2 linked regions of the Sus scrofa genome follow. The protein of the gene in region 1 purifies or fractionates together with the protein of each later gene. This does not show direct contact. Links are inferred from orthologs where the notes say so. Each region holds a gene or a part of one and is shown on either strand. Other genes may lie near its edges.

The links. Proteins that work in one complex are often made in the same cells at the same time.
Region 2: the proteins of ITGB1 (region 1) and CD63 purify together in Homo sapiens (affinity purification with western blotting; 3 studies listed by BioGRID and IntAct, with this or other methods). This does not show direct contact. The link is inferred for Sus scrofa from reciprocal best matches to the Homo sapiens genes ITGB1 and CD63.

Annotation. Positions count from the first base shown.
Region 1 is NC_010452.4:56,126,149-56,133,714, reverse strand, and holds the start of ITGB1 (integrin beta-1), read left to right. Parts: upstream 1-3,203; 5' UTR 3,204-3,346; intron 3,347-7,566.
Region 2 is NC_010447.5:21,172,298-21,179,994, forward strand, and holds the start of CD63 (CD63 antigen), read right to left. Parts: upstream 3,929-7,697; 5' UTR 3,553-3,928; coding exon of another isoform or gene 3,142-3,552; intron 3,074-3,141; coding exon of another isoform or gene 2,767-3,073; coding exon 2,701-2,766; intron 1,721-2,700; coding exon 1,532-1,720; intron 1,365-1,531; coding exon 1,290-1,364; intron 1,188-1,289; coding exon 1,092-1,187; intron 981-1,091; coding exon 843-980; intron 374-842; coding exon 290-373; intron 136-289; coding exon 70-135; 3' UTR 1-69. Other genes in the region: basic proline-rich protein-like, read left to right, coding at 2,765-3,073, 3,142-3,552. UniProt on the Homo sapiens protein: Functions as a cell surface receptor for TIMP1 and plays a role in the activation of cellular signaling cascades. Plays a role in the activation of ITGB1 and integrin signaling, leading to the activation of AKT, FAK/PTK2 and MAP kinases.

The DNA.
Region 1 (7,566 bases):
CTCCATATGCCACGGGAGTGGCCCAAGAAATAGCAAAAAGACAAAAAAAAAAAAAAAAAAAAAAAAAAAAAAAGATTGAGTCGGCTTCAAGTTATCCTGGCATGATTTGTTGCTTACTGGACAGGGTAATCCTTGACAGGCTTAGTCCCCAAAGTGTTCAAACTACGAGAGAAAGACAGCCATCCACTCCTAAGCTAACATCAGCTCACTCCCACTCTCAAAACTGTATTCCATAATCACGTGATTAAATACAATCTGCTAGATCTAAAGGTTAGTCATCAAACAGTGATTCCATTGTCCAAAAGAGATAATCAGGTTTCTAGAGAGGCCTTTAGCCTCTTTTGTACTCGATTAAATATTTGTGGTTCCTTTCATTTACATAAGCCTAGCCTTTAATTTTAAATAGAAATGGGGGTCAAACACTGAAATGAACTTGGGCCTCCAATAAAGTCTGCTGGTGAGCAGCTTTGAAACTATTTTGGAGAACAGTAGGTGAATAAAGATATACTTTGAACAGCAAGTAGTACTAAGATGCCAAAACTAAAGGAAAGTCAACTTTTAATTATTTGACATAATGACATGGCAGAGGACAATTTATAATAACAGGGAGAGAGTATAGGTAAAATATGATTTATCTTAAATCAAGATCTAATAGATGTGCTATAATGACATGGTTTAGCAGCGTGACTTACACTAGTTCTACTTACCAGGATTTCTGTTGAACATGGTAAGACTGACCAACCTTTGTCTGCAATGTTCATAAATTTTATAGTTAGCTAACTGCCTACTGATTAATATTTATATGAAATCACAAATGGAGTCATACCCGTGACCAATCACATATTTCTTAGAGAGTATTTCTTCTAATTTCTCATTTCCTCAAAGCTCATGACTTCTGTACATAAATTGCTCCTCACACTTTAGCCAAAAGTTCTAGTGTGATTTCAGGGGAGCAAAAAGACCCATTTATTCATTTATCAAATACTGGGCCCCTATTATGTGATCTGCAACAGTGTTTGATACTGGGATTAAAAAGTTGATTAAACTGCCCTTGAGCTAATTCAATTAGTTTAGTGTTTTGCAGATGTGAACCTCATAGTATTCTTGTGGAAAATCACACAGGGAGGAAAATTCTGGGACATATAGTGCAAATCAGGCATGGATAAATTACTTTACCTTTGAACTACAACCTGTGCTGAGACTAGTCCAGTTCTGATTAATTTTAAACAGTGGTATAACTGGTACCTTTAAATTCAAGAATGTTGAATTCTGGAGTTCCCATCGTGGCACAGTGGTTAACGAATCCGACTAGGAACCATGAGGTTGCGGGTTCGATCCCTGGCCTCTCTCAGTGGGTTAATGATCCGGCGTTGCCGTGAGCTGTGGTGCAGGTCGCAGATGCGGCTCGGATCCCGCGTTGCTGTGGCTCTGGCGTAGGCCAGTGGCTACAGCTCCAATTCGACCCCTAGCCTGGGAACCTCCATATGCCGTGGGAGTGGCCCAAGAAATGGCAAAAAGACAAAATAAATAAATAAATAAATAAATGGGAAGGAAAAAAAAAAAAAAAAGAATGTTGAATTCTGGTGGTAGCTGCATCATTGGGTTATTGATATAGAAACATTGATTTTTTAAATTGAAGTATAGTTGATTTACGATGTTGTGTTAGTTCTCAGGGGCACAATGAAGTGATTCAGTTATGTTACATGTTAAATATATGTTCTTTCTTGGATTCTTTTCCGTTATAGGTAGGTTACTACAAGTTATTGAATATAGCTCCCTGTGCTATAAGTAGGAAAATTGTTGTTCATCTGTTTTGTATATAGTAGTATGTACATATTAATCCCCAACTCCTAATTTATCCCTTCCCCCACCCTTAACTATAGGATTATTTTCTGAGTCTGGTTTGTTTTGAAACCAAGTCCATTTGTATCCTCTTTCAGATTACACAAATAGGGAAACATGATTTAGTCCGTTAACTTTGGTCATCTATTAAACGGGAAAAATCATTCCCATTTCTTTAGAGGTTCCCAGAGATTACCTAACCAACAGATTTGATTTTGCTGGTAAGCAATGAACAAAGTTTCCATAGATGGGATTGTGTGAGCTTCTTTTAAGGTTGGCAGCTAAATGGGCATCGCGGCTTCTAATCTCCCCCAAATGAAACACTACTTCTCCATTTCACAAATCTCATAATTCGAGTTCTATTCCCAACAGGGTGCTCCAGCTCACCACGTGGCGAAGCACATTTTCTGCTAACAGGATGGCAGCCTGCCAGCAGCATAGTCAAAGTGACTGGGTTTCAGTATGATGCCGGTTGGCACAGGTTTCATTCCTCTGATTAAGAAGTGCCCAGCCTTGCTCATAATGAAATGTTTCTCTTCTCGTGTTTTAAACGTCCCTTCTTCTGCAGCCCCCCAGCCCACCTACTAAAAAAACTGAGGATAAACGGAAACCGTATCAAGGAGGAAACTTCCTTCTCATCCGCGTTCCCCATAAACGGACGTCCAGATTAACCTAACAAAAGCTGCTCTCCAATTTACTTTTTCTCTAAAACTTTTCTCTTTCTGGGTCCCCATCTCCTCCCTAAGTCTCCCCCTTTCTCAAAGACGTAAGTCAGGCAAATCCTCACGCCAGAAAAATACTGGCTTTAGCTCCTTCCCTTCCAAAAGGAAAACGTCTTGGGCCCCAGGAAGCCCTGCAAGGTGCGTGATTAAGTGTCTTGATTTGCGGGAGTCTCCGGCGGCTCCCTGGAGGCAAGGCTTCCAAGGTTCAAAACCAGGCAGTCCCGGGCAGGACAGACGTGCGGCCTTAGGAAAGCAGCACCTAAGACAAGGCAGGAAGAAGGCTCCAGAACTTCTCACGGGAGGAGATTAAGGCGCGCTGGGCGGCGCAGACCCTTCCTCCCTGGGCAGCTAAGGAAACTGAGGCACGGCGAACGCTGCGGCAGAGACCCCCACCACCGGCGCCCGGCAGGCCCGCTCCTTTGTCCCAGCGGCCGCCCTCCCCGCCCCTCCTCCACCTCCCACCCCGCGTCCCTCCCCCACCCCCGCCGCGCGGGCGCGGCTGACGCCGCCCGGCAGGAATGCGCTTCCGGAGGGAGAGGGCGGCGGCGGCGGCCTGAGGAGCTGGATTGCCGCGCGGAGGAGGCGGTGCCGCGGGGGTCGTTTCCTGCCAGGAGGCGGCCCCGCGTCGCCGAGTCTCCTCCTCCCGCCCGCGAAGGAGGAGGAGCTGCCGCCGCCGCGCCCGCGCCGCAGCCGGGGAGGCCACGCCAGCCCTCGGACAGGCCGAGCGGGAGTCGCGGAGCGCTGGTGGAGCCGACCGCGCGGGCCGGGCGCCGCGGGAGAAGGTGGGCGCGGGCGGGCGGCGGGCTGGGTGCGCTGCCGGCCCGGGGCCCCGGGGCGCGCGTGGGGGCCGCGGCCTGGGGGCGGATTCCAGCCGTCGGGCGGGGGAGGAAGTCGGGCCGCGCCCGCTCCCGGCTTCGCTCTCCGACTGTCCGGCCGGGGGAGGTGGAGGGTGCGGGCCGGCCCAGGACGCTGTCCGCGGGAGGCCGCGCTTGCGGAGGCCCGGGGCCAGGATCCGCCGCTCGGACACCCGCTGTGGGCGCCACCCCGCCGGCTGGGCGCCGACAGGCCTTCGCGGGCCGGCGTCCTGGGAGCGGCCTCGGCCCCGCCGCCTTACGCGGCGGGTCGCGCGGGTGCCGGGCCTCCGCGCGGGGACAGCTCCGCCTCGGCTCCAGCTCTCCGGCGTTGCTCGGAGAAGGGGCGCGGGGTCGGGCGTCCTGTGGGCCCCTTTCCCCCCGAGGCTGGTTGTGGGCGGCGGTGCGAAGGGCTAACCCCAGCCGCTGCCTGATTCGTGCGGTTGCTTAGGCTTCATAACAAGTCGTATTTTTAAGAATGCCAGTATTTAATGCCCAAGTAATTCTTGTTTTATCGGATGTGTGTTTTGGATCAAAATCTAGCGCTGGTTGGTTTGGTCCCTAGTAAATTAGACTCTTTAAGGTTCCATTTCCTCTGCTGTAAAATGGGAGCAATACCGACACTAATAAGAAAACGTAATTGTTATAATAACGGCATAAGTGAGGGCCATGCTTAGCTCTACACACTTCACCTGTATTTTCTCGTTTAACCCTGGATCTGAGCCGACCAGGTATATGCTGTTTTTATCCCTGTTTTCCAATTGAAACCGACACACCAGGAGCCTGGGTGATCATCCAGCTGTAGTGAGGAGAACCCATGGGGTCTAGCAGACGTTGTTTGAACCACAAGTAACCTTGCATAAGTACCGTGTAGTGAAAAGCTAATGGAAAATGGAAAACACTTAGCTTAGAGTAGATGCTCAATAAATATCAACTCCTTTTCGTTCCTTCTTGTTTTTTTTTTTTTTTAAAGTATGCCTGTAGTTGATAGCATCATTAGTAAGGCGTTTTGGAGTCTGCGTTCCACATAAATATTTAGGGGAGTAGAGTTACTGGAATGTTATTTTTTATTGTTTTGGTGGTACAAAAATAACCAATGCTAAATGTTTTGATGAGGCATCTTTCTTCAACTGCATGCAGCCTTTCCAACAGGTTGCATAAATAGACCACTTGAGAAATGATTAAGGGATTTTAGTTGCAAGTTACCTATTCTAAGTCTGTGAATATCAAGGCCATAGGGAGGGTCAGGGCTTATTTAAGAGTCCTACTGTAATGTTCATATTTGAAAATAATTTTAGTCCCTTGTTTAATAATAAATGAGTGAAGAGGATTAATAAATAGAAAACACGTGAAACAAATCAGTGTTCTGGTTATAGATGTCTGAGGAGACAAGACATTTTACTCACCCTAAAATTCAGTATAAAATGGAAGATGTTAGAATGCTAGTTTAAAAGATAGGGGATGTGGTTAATACTTTACTTCTGTAAATAGAAAACAAACTCCAAATCAAGTCATCTGTGTTGAGGTCACAGACCTAAACATTTAAGCTTTTGTAATGTTGATTCCTTTTAGAAGAATGTTAAAAAATACTCTATATTAAGATTGTTTTATAATCCCGTCAACATCCTGCATGTGAAAAGAATCGAATCAGCAATACTGAAAATCACTGGATTCAGGTGGCTTTTTCCTCAGTTTTCTGGTCGGTATAATTAAAAGCTGCCCCAAATTAGCATCACATGTATTTCTTTAATGGGGTGGATGAATTCCTAACTCCTGGAGGGACTCTGGGGCTGTAAATAGTGAAAATCAGTTTAAGGTGGTGCTAGTTTTCATGGAATGATGGCCACTTAGTAGCTTTATTGTTTGGTTTCTTGCCAAATTGTGGCTTCTATCATCAAGGGGTAATATTCTATCTGAAGGAAATATATGTTTTTAATTATTTCACAAGGACACTGGTTTGTTCTCTGCTGGAATGATGAGAGGACACATCTCTCTGGTAAAAGTTTCAGAACTTTTGAGTTCTGAGAATGGACATTTCTGAATGTGTAAGAAATTGAATTAGTTATCTGAGAGGATTCATAGGGACTGATTGCCCCACTCTGGATGGAGAGGTAGGATCTGTCTGGTTGTGAGTAGATTCCTAGAAGATCATATTGTGCACGTAGGTAAATGTCTTGTTGTATTAGCAGGTCTACTCTGACTGTGATGTGTTGTGGGGTTTTTGTCCTTTTATATTGTTGCACAGGTGGGGGTATTGGGGTAGGGAGGATGCGCCGACAGGCGTGAGAGTAGGGAAGAGTATATTAGTCTTTAGAACCTGAAATGATAGCAGCATCTATAGCTGTAGAAAACTGCATACATTAAGAGTATGTATCTAGGCTAAAGGAAGTGCAATCCCTATAAACCCCAGCCTTAGAATATTTCAATAGATGAGTGAAAAAATGTAGTATATCTTTTTCAGAAGATGTATGCAAAAGGAGCCAAGCTATACTTTGTGAATTTCTCATCTTTTTTTAAGACTAATTATCTTACACAGAGTTAAGTTTTATATATAAAATAAAAGTCAACTGCCTTAAAGCTGTATTTTTGGTTTGTGGCTTTAGAAGACAAGGTTAACTGTATCTAGCATGGTGCTGAAGCATGTGTATATCATGTCATCATGTAATGTGTGAAAAACTGCTTTGAATATACCTAGTACATACGTATATAAACACACACGTAATTATAGGCCTAGTCTCATTATGCAGTCTCCAGAGTGCTGCTTCCTGGACCCTCGGGCTGTATGAAATAACTCACTGGAGTGTGGGAAGAAAATAGACTGTTTATAATACATATATATTAAAACATATTTTAATCTCATCATTTTAGGGTAAATTTTTATGATTTATAATATTCTATATTGCTGTAGAAGTACATGTATTTTAATTTATAAATACATGTTTTATGGCATATGTATGCTCGATTTTTTTAAATAATAAAAATGAGGGATTAAAAAGCTTTGGAGGTCCTTGGTATGGAGGATGACTTGGGTTGGGCAACAGGAACTACTAATTTTGGAAGGAGAACAGGTAAGCTTGGTGTCTGAGGTGAGAGGAGGAAGGAACAGAAGTGGCCCGGTTTCTGGTTGGGAGGCGACCTGCACCGAGGAGGCCACCTCACCGCAGGGGTGGTGTTGAATCTGCAGGCCAGCTCGGCTGGAGCGGTGTTGCATCTGCAGATTGAGAGCTCAGAGCCGTCTGGCTGGGCGACTGCGATTTGGGAATTGAGTCTGTGAGACTTTTCACGCTGCTTCTCAGCTGCTTCACGGCCAGGGCTGGGTGGAGGAGAAGGAATCTAGAAAAGCCCTTCCCTTCCTCGGTTGGTTTGAATTTCTCATTCCTTCCTGTGACAACTTTAGTGAATGACTTGGGTCACTCAGTTTTTCTCTGTGATGAGTCTGCTTGGGCTGAAGAGAGAGGCATCACGAGAGAAGCAGTTTGATGTGGTCAAGGTGTCTGGATTGAGGGACCTGAACTGTGATGTTTGTCGGGATACCTCACCTCACTGGAAGCGGCTTTGGTTTCTGCAGCTATACCGTGAAAATGGTCTCTTGGTTTCCCTCTTTCCGTTACCCTGAGAGCCGAAGGCCTGCTGTCTTGTGACCTGGCTCTGCAGAGTGTAGCTCCCCTGTCTCCCATGAGCAGCCCTCACCCCAGAGGGCAGGTGCTGTGTCAGCTCGTGGCTTTGAGCAAGCCTGCCAGTGCTGGCCAGCCAGATCTGTTCCTGTTCGCTCTCTGGCAGGCTGGAGCTCTGTTGTCCATCCCATGTTAATCCGACGGTGTCCCGAGTGCCAGTTTCCTGAGCACTGGCGCTGAGCGGGGGTAGGTCAAGAGGTTGCCGTGGACCTTGCTGTTGAGGACACTTGTCTTGTTGGGGCAAGTTGTGTTCAGTCTGGGGAAACAGCAGATACCGCAGGATGTTCTACACAGCGTACCTTACCAGGTAAAATTTTCTAATAGATTTTGAGGAAAAGGTCAGCATTGGCTTTAATGGTTTTGGAAGGCTTTGTAGAGGAGCTGGGAATGGTAGGACCAAAGAGGCAGATGACAGGTGGTGACGTGGTCAAGGGGCAGTAGAGTTAGACTGCAGAGTCCAGTCTTATTTAGCAAATA
Region 2 (7,697 bases), on another chromosome or scaffold:
GTTTAATTGAAAAACCTGGAGTATACTAGCCCACTCTCCTGGATGAGGGGGCTGAAGAGACCAGACCCCCTACATCACCTCGTAGCCACTTCGGATGCTCTTCACAAGGCAGCAAGCAAAGACAATACCCAGGACCTAGAAGGAAAGTTAGAGGTGGGGGTGAAGAGGAGCCAGAGAGGCGAGGGACCCCAGACCCAGCCCAGAGACCCCAGACACAACCAGACCAGTACCTCCAGCTCTGCATCCTCCCACTGCCCCATGTTCCCAGATACCCACGGGCACCTCTCACCTCCACAAAGGCAATGCCCAGGGCTGCTGCAGCTGCCACCAGCACATTGCTCCTCAGCCAGCTCCCAATCTTTTCCACACAGCCCTGAAGAAGGGGCAAGCACACAAGACAAGAACCCTATCAGAAACTTCCCTAACAAGGAGATGCTGCTGAATAGCATTGAGAACTATGTCTAGATACTCATGTTGCAACAGAAGAAAGAGTGGGGGAAAAACTGTAATTGCAATGTATACATGTAAGGATAACCTGACCCCCTTGCTGTACAGTGGGAAAATAAAAAAAATAAATAAATAAATAAATAAAGAGCTAGCACAAAAGACAGTAGGTAAAAGATTAAAAAAAAAAAGAAAAAGAAACTTCCCTAGACCGGCTATCTCTTCCCCACCCTCTGTACCTTTCACCCCACCCCTGGCACTGCCAGGTTCCCTCCCCATCCCTGACCCTCAATCCCCAAGGGCCCCGACCCTCTCCACCTCCAGCCCTGGTCCCTCTGGCCCCCCTCAAACATATGCCAGGTTCCCCACGTCCACTACTATCTCAGCCTCCTCCCTACCTCATTATGAATCTCCTTCACGTTGAAATTAACTCCACAGTGCTGAGTGACATTGACACAGCAGGAGTCCGGGACTCGCTTGGGTGACAGCAGGATCTTCTCCCAGTCTGTGTAGTTAGCTGCCCCGCAGCACTTAAACTAGGGGAGAGGAAAGACACAGGGAAAAGGCTGCTAAGTGAGCCCCCATCTTCACCATGGAGATGAGCACCTTCTTACCCCATTCCTCCTGCTCCCAGCAACCCCACTCACATCTTCCTGCATCCTGTCCAGGATCAATGCTGTGTGGTTGTTTTTTGGATAATTCTGCATCTGCTGCTGGAAGTCCTTATTAAATTCTGCCTTCACCTGGGAGTAGAGAGGAGCTGTGTTGAAGCCAGAATTCGGGGCACCTGGGTCCCAGAGTAGCCGGGCCTCTGAGACGAGGCCCTCCCCTTAGTCCCTGCTTACCTTGTCTCTAAACACATAGCCAGCAATGGCGGCTGCCACCTCCACCAGCATGATAAGGGACAGGAAGATGGCAAACTGCGGGCGCAAAGGACGAGAGTCAGGTTTGGCGTCTGGGCAAGGGGGGCCTGCCATTCTCAGGAACATTCACAGAAGTTTCCTTCACCCACCCACCCTCCCAAGCCCTCTCCAGAGGAACGCCCTTCCAGGAGGGCCAGGCCCCGTGCTGGCCCACCGCCACTCACTGTGACCATAAGACAGTAGTTCTCCTTGCAGGTCCCACAGCAGCCCACAAAGGCCACCAGGAAGAGGAAGGCACCCACTGCGATGATGACCACAGGCAACAGGGAGCCAGGGGTGGCCCCCTGGGTAATGGTCTGATTTAGCACGAGCTGGACCCAGATCCCCACGGCGATCAGTCCCACGGCACAGGCCTGCGGGGAGGACAGAGCAGGACTGAGAGGCCGCACAACCCATCAGCCCTCCAAGGTGGAGGGCGCGATGGACCCGGGACACAGACCAGAACCCCACTCCAGAGACGGATTCTCACACCTCCAGGGGACCTAACTGTGGGGGAGAAGGGTGAGCCATCCTTGCCAGGGAGGGCTGGGAAACTGTTCAAGGCTCTCAGAGAAGGCAGTCAGAAGGAACCACACCTTCCACAACCCGCTCCTCACCAAGGCAAAAAGAGAAGTTCCCAGAAAGCCTTGACCCCAGGGCACAAATTCCCAACAAAGAGAAGTGCTTCCTGTGAGCCTCTTCCTATGGGCCTCCAGGGCTCCCAGAACTGCCCTCTCACTGTCCTCCAGTGCCCACCACATCCTCACCAGCTGTGACTAGGGTTCCTGGGGCCCACTAGGGTTCCTCAGGACTCGGGTTCCTCAGGCCCACTAGGCCAGGGAGGAGAAGGGAGGAGGAAGCGGGGTAAGGGTGACCTGCCCCTCCCTGGACAAACAATCCTCTCTCAAGCCGGGGGCCCAGGGCAGGAGCCATCTAGGTGGACAGAGCCCTCTCCAACCCCCAAGCAGGAAGGAGGGGGTATGAGGGAATGGAGAGGAAGGGGGGGTGGAGGGTGCGGAGGGGCACCCCGTGGTGATAGCATCAAGCCGTTGGCGGGTTGCCCCACTGCCCCATATCACAAGAGGTTGGGTCACCAGACAGGAAAGGCAAGGAGGGATTACGGGGAGGGTGCTAGGCACCCAGGCCGGCCATTCTCGATCCCAAACAGTCTCAAAGATCCCTGCTTTGAGCTGGAGGAGGCGATGGCCGCGCTGCCCTCGGCCGTTAGCCGGGAGTTCCTTCCACATCTGCTCTCCAGCTGCCTTCCTTCTTGACCCCTCAGCCGTCAGCACTCCCGAGCCAGTTCTCCCCGCACCCTGCCAGCGCGCCCCCATCGTCCCCGCTCCCCACTCACGCAAAAGGCCAGCAGAAGAACGTAGAGCAAGAACTTGACACATCTCATTCCTCCTTCCACCGCCATGGCTGCCTGGCCTGGGGCACAGGGGAGGGCAGGGGGATTAGAACCGGTCGAAGGGGTATCCGGGCTTCGGAGCGCCCTGCCGGCCCTCGAGACCTCCCCTGCGCGGCCCCCATTCCCGGCCCCTCCCACCCGGAAACCCGCGGTCAGATCCACGTCTCCCAGCCCCCTCTTCTCCCTGCAGGAGAGGGGTGGGGGCGCCCGTCGCCCAGCCCGGACCCCGCCCCGCCGCGTCCCTGGCCCCGGACTGATCCAAGGGCGCCCGCTGGGGCCAGGGCTGGACGCCCACCCTGGGCCCGCCAGCCCCCAGGTGTTAAACACCCCCTCCCCACCCAACCAGCCCCCCAAAATTGTCCTCAGCTCTAGCCCGATCCCCAGGCCACTTTCCCCTGGGCTCTGACCACCGCCAAAAATAAGTGCGTCCCGCGCTCCGCATCCCACCCCTCCCGGGCCTCCGGAACTTTCCAAAGTTGCAAAGTTGCGAGGGCCTCGGGAGCAGCGGGGGAGCGAAGCCGATCTTCAGAGGCCCGGAGCGAGGCCCTGAGCGGGGAGCGGCTGGCGATTCCCCCCAACACCCCGACGCCAGAGCCGGAGCGGGCTCCGCGGCCTCACCTGGGCTCCCCGAGGCTGTGCGCTGCACTCCCGCCGCGGCTCAGGGGCTCTCTAGCTGCGCCCCCCGGCTCCGGCCCCGCCCGGCGCGCGGCCCCGCCCCGGCTCCATCCGCAGCCCCCTCCCCCGCCGAGTAGCCGCCAGCCTCCCTCATGTGACGCGAGAACAGCTGCGGCCTGAGTCACCCGGCCTGCAGGAGGAAGGCCGAGACCCCGGCCGGGTCAAGGCCACGTGGCCCCTGCCTGGAAGACGGCGCCCACCCCCCGCAAAGGGAGGGCACCAAGGGCAAGACCCCGGGGTGCCTGGGTTCTCCTGGCTTCCCCAGCCCCGTGCCAACTCGGGGTAGGAGAGGGGGACCAGGCGCCGCCTGCTTTTCTTTGGCTCAGGCAAACGGGGGAGACGTGTGAGAGCTAAAGGAGGGATGAGCGGCCCAGAGGAACCCTCTGTGCACCCAGCCCGGGCGGCGGAGCTGAGGCGAGGGGACAAGATGGTCTTCAAGAGGCCTCCTCATCCTCCACCCAGAGCCCACTCCCTTCCTCTCGCTCCAACTCTGTTCCAGCCCCTCACCCCTTCCCCGAGTCAGTAGAGGGCGCTGTTGGGTCCCTGGGATAGGGTGGGTCGCGAATAAACACTTTTAGAAAGTCCCTGGCTTCACATCCTGGGGGTCCCCCACCATTCTAGAAGGGGTGTTCCTTCTCTCCGCTCCCATTGTTAGTCCATTCTCCATTTTGTAGGATTCCGGAGGAGTGAGCGGAGAAATAGAGGAAGCCTTTCCCAGGACATCCCACCCCGTCAGTCATGATGCGTCATGAATGAGGTCCCTCCCTCCACTCCCGGATCAGCCTGTTACCCGGGAGGCGTGCCGAGGACACTTAGGCGAGCACAGCACGTATTCCCTGCATTTTCCTCGCCCGTCCTGGACAGCCCAGGGGCAAAGCCTGGAGAGGACTGGAAGGTGAGGGGGGGGTGGGCTCCAGAAGAAACTGTGTGAACGGGGCAAGGACGGAACCAGCCACCACACCGCTGCCCGCCCAGCCTGAACCCACCCCTTGCGTTTTTCTGGTCCTGCCTGAAGAACCATTTCCTGAGCTGTGGTGTGTGTACACAAAGAAGGAAGGAAACTTTAAGAGCAAAAGGAAGGCGCACTGGGCTGGGCTGGGCTGAGAACCAGTTTCCAGGATCACTATCTTCAAGCGAAACACACCAAGCCCCTTCTGGACATTGCTCCCCAGTTATCACCTGCAGGCAGGCTGGGGAGGAGGAGCCAAGACTCCGAAGAAAGGAGTATTCCTCTGTTTCTGCCAGGCATGTGCTGGGCACAGGGCCAGCGAGGTGAGGAAGTTGATGGCCCTGTCCTCTGCCAGCAGGCAGAACCAAGCCCACACTGTGAATAGACGCAGAAACCCCTGGTGGCAGCTGGACTAGCTCAGAGGGAGGGGCAGGAGGTGCCGATGCCCCAGAGGGAAAAAGAAAAAGATTTCACAGAGGTGGGTGGTGCTCTCCCAGGGGAGCTTGGCGAATAAAAGGGCAAGCATCAGTTCCAGTGCCAAGGAAAGGGCCAGGTGTAAAAGAGGAGTCGTTTTGTTTATTTATTTATTTATTTTTAATTTTTGTCTTTTCAGGCATACGGAAGGTCCCAGGCTAGGGGTTGAGTCAGAGACAACCACAGCAACGCCAGATCCGAGCGGTGTCTGCAACCTACACCACAGCTCACGGCAAGGCCAGATCCTTCACCCACTGAGCCGAGCGAGGACTGGGATTGAACCGCATCCTCATAACTAGTTGGGTTCATTACTGCTGGACCACAATGGGAACTTCCAAAAAAGGAGTAGTTTTAAAAGTCCATGGCAGGGAGTTCCCACTGTGGCTCAGTGGGTTAACAAACCCAACTAGTAACCATGAGAATGTGGGTTTGATCCCTGGCATTGCTCGGTGGGTTAAGGAGCCGGCGTGGCCTTGAGTTGTGCGAATGTAGCCCTAAAAAGCAAAAACACAAACTCTTTTTTAATTTAAAAATAAAGTCCATGGCAGATTGGGATTGGCCAGCTGCCTCACAGGGCTGGGGAAGGATGTGGTGACAGATGGACGGGAGGGAAGCTGGTCTGAAGTCAAATTGAGAAACTTTAGGAGTTAGCATCGTCGTGGCACAGCGGAAATGAATCTGACTAGGAAACATAATGTTGAAGTTTCAATCCCTGGCCTCGCTCAGTGGGTTAAGGATCTGACGTTGCAGTGAGCTGTGGTGTAGGTTGCTTACGAGGCTCAGATCTGCTGTGGCTGTGGCGTAGGCCGGTGACCCCTAGCCCGGGAACCTCCGTATGCAATGGGTGCGGCCCTAAAAACCAAAAAAAAAAAAAGATTGAGAAACATTAAATACCTACTCACCAAGTATAATGCTTGCTCTTTGATTACATCTTTGCCTGAACAACCATGAAAGACATTTTGGGAACAGCTGGGCAAATTTAAATATTGACTGAGAATTAGACCTGAGAAAATAATTTTCTTAGGTATGATGACAGTATGATTATATAGGAAAATTCCTCTTTTTTTTTTTTGTCTATTTGCCTTTTCTAGGGCCGCTCCTGCGGCATATGGAGGTTCCCAGGCTAGGGTCTAATCAGAGCTGTAGCCGCTGGCCTACGCCAGAGCCACAGCAACGCAGGATCCGAGTCACATTTGCAACCTACACCACAGCTCACGGCAACACTAGATCCTCAACCTGCTGAGCAAGGCCAGAGATCGAACCCGCAAACTCATGGTTCCTAGTCGGACTCACCAACCACTGAGCCACGATGGGAACTCCTCCACTATTTTTTTTAATATGCATATGAAAATACTTAAGGATGGAATGTCATATTTGTAATTTACTTTGCAATACTTCACAAAACAGTAGATGAAGCACAAAGAAGACAGTCTGGGTGACAGGACTATTGAGAACTTAGGTGGCTGGGTTGGGTGTGTTCTAGGACAAAGGGGACCCGTGGAAATTAATTGACAAGGTGAACTGCCTTAGCATGGGGCCTACCTTGGACGAGGAGGAATGAATGCCTGGAGGGAAGCTGGGACATCACTGCCATGCCCCAGGGGAGAGCTAATTAAGACCAGAGCCACGGAAAGGAGGGGAAATCCTTGGAAAGGACTTTCAGAGGGAAAAAGCAAAGGACAGAGTGACTGGTGTTCCCTTATGGCACAGCAGGTTAAGGATCTGTCTTTGCCACTGCTGTGGTGTGGGTTCGATCCCTGGCCCAGGAACATCCACATGCCACTGGAATGACAAAAAAATAAAGGGGGGATGGCAGTGGGGCGAGGAAATGGAAAGAGTCTGAGATGACTCAGAGTTTCCAAACCTGGGTGCCCAGGGGAAAGATGGAGATGTCCCACCTGGAATTGGAGATGTGAAACTCAGGAGAGAGGAGTAGTCAAATTAGAGATAAAAAGTGATTTCTGATCCACAGGCGAGTGTTGCTGAAATGTCGGCTGCCTCTACACCGATGCCCAATAGAAACATGGAGACACAGAGTTGGAGGAAACAGAAAAGGTAGCTTTAGGAGTTCCCGTCGTGGCTCAGGGGTTAACGAATCTGACTAGCATCCATGAGGACACAGGTTCAATCCCTGACCTTGCTCAGTGGGTTAAGGATCCATCGCTGCCGTGAGCTGTGGTGTAGGTCAAAGACATGGCTGGATCCTGCATTGCTGTGGTGTAGACCAGCAGGTACAGTTCTGATCAGACCCCTAGCCTGGGAATCTCCATATACCATGGGTGCAGCCCTAAAAAAAAAGTAGCTTTAATGGACAGGCAAAGAGAGGAACACAGCAGGCTAGTGCCCCCAAGGACCATGCCCCCCCTTGGAAGGGGTAGGGAGGAGTCTTCTAGTGTTCGAGGAGCCTGGCGTGATCAGCTCGTGGACATTGTCCTGATTGGTGGGTGGTGAGGTCATTTAGAGTCAGCATCATCGACCTTCTGGTCCCAGCCAGTCTGGGGTCCATGTGCTGTGGGCAGCATCCAGTTGACTTCTTCCACCCAGTGGGGGCTTCAACACCTGCAAAAGGGCTCCAAAGACATGGCTCAGAATTTTTTTTTTTTTTCTCTGTCTTTTTGCCATTTCTTGGGCCGCTCCCGCGGCCTATGGAGGTTCCCATGCTAGGGGTCGAATCAGAGCTGTAGATGCCAGCCTACACCAGAGCCACAGCAACGCAGGATCTGAGCCGCATCTGCAACCCACACCAGAGCTCATGGCAACGCCAGATCCTTAACCCACTGAGCGAGGCCAGGGATCGAACCCACAACCTCATGGTTCCCAGTTGGATTCGTTAACTACTGAG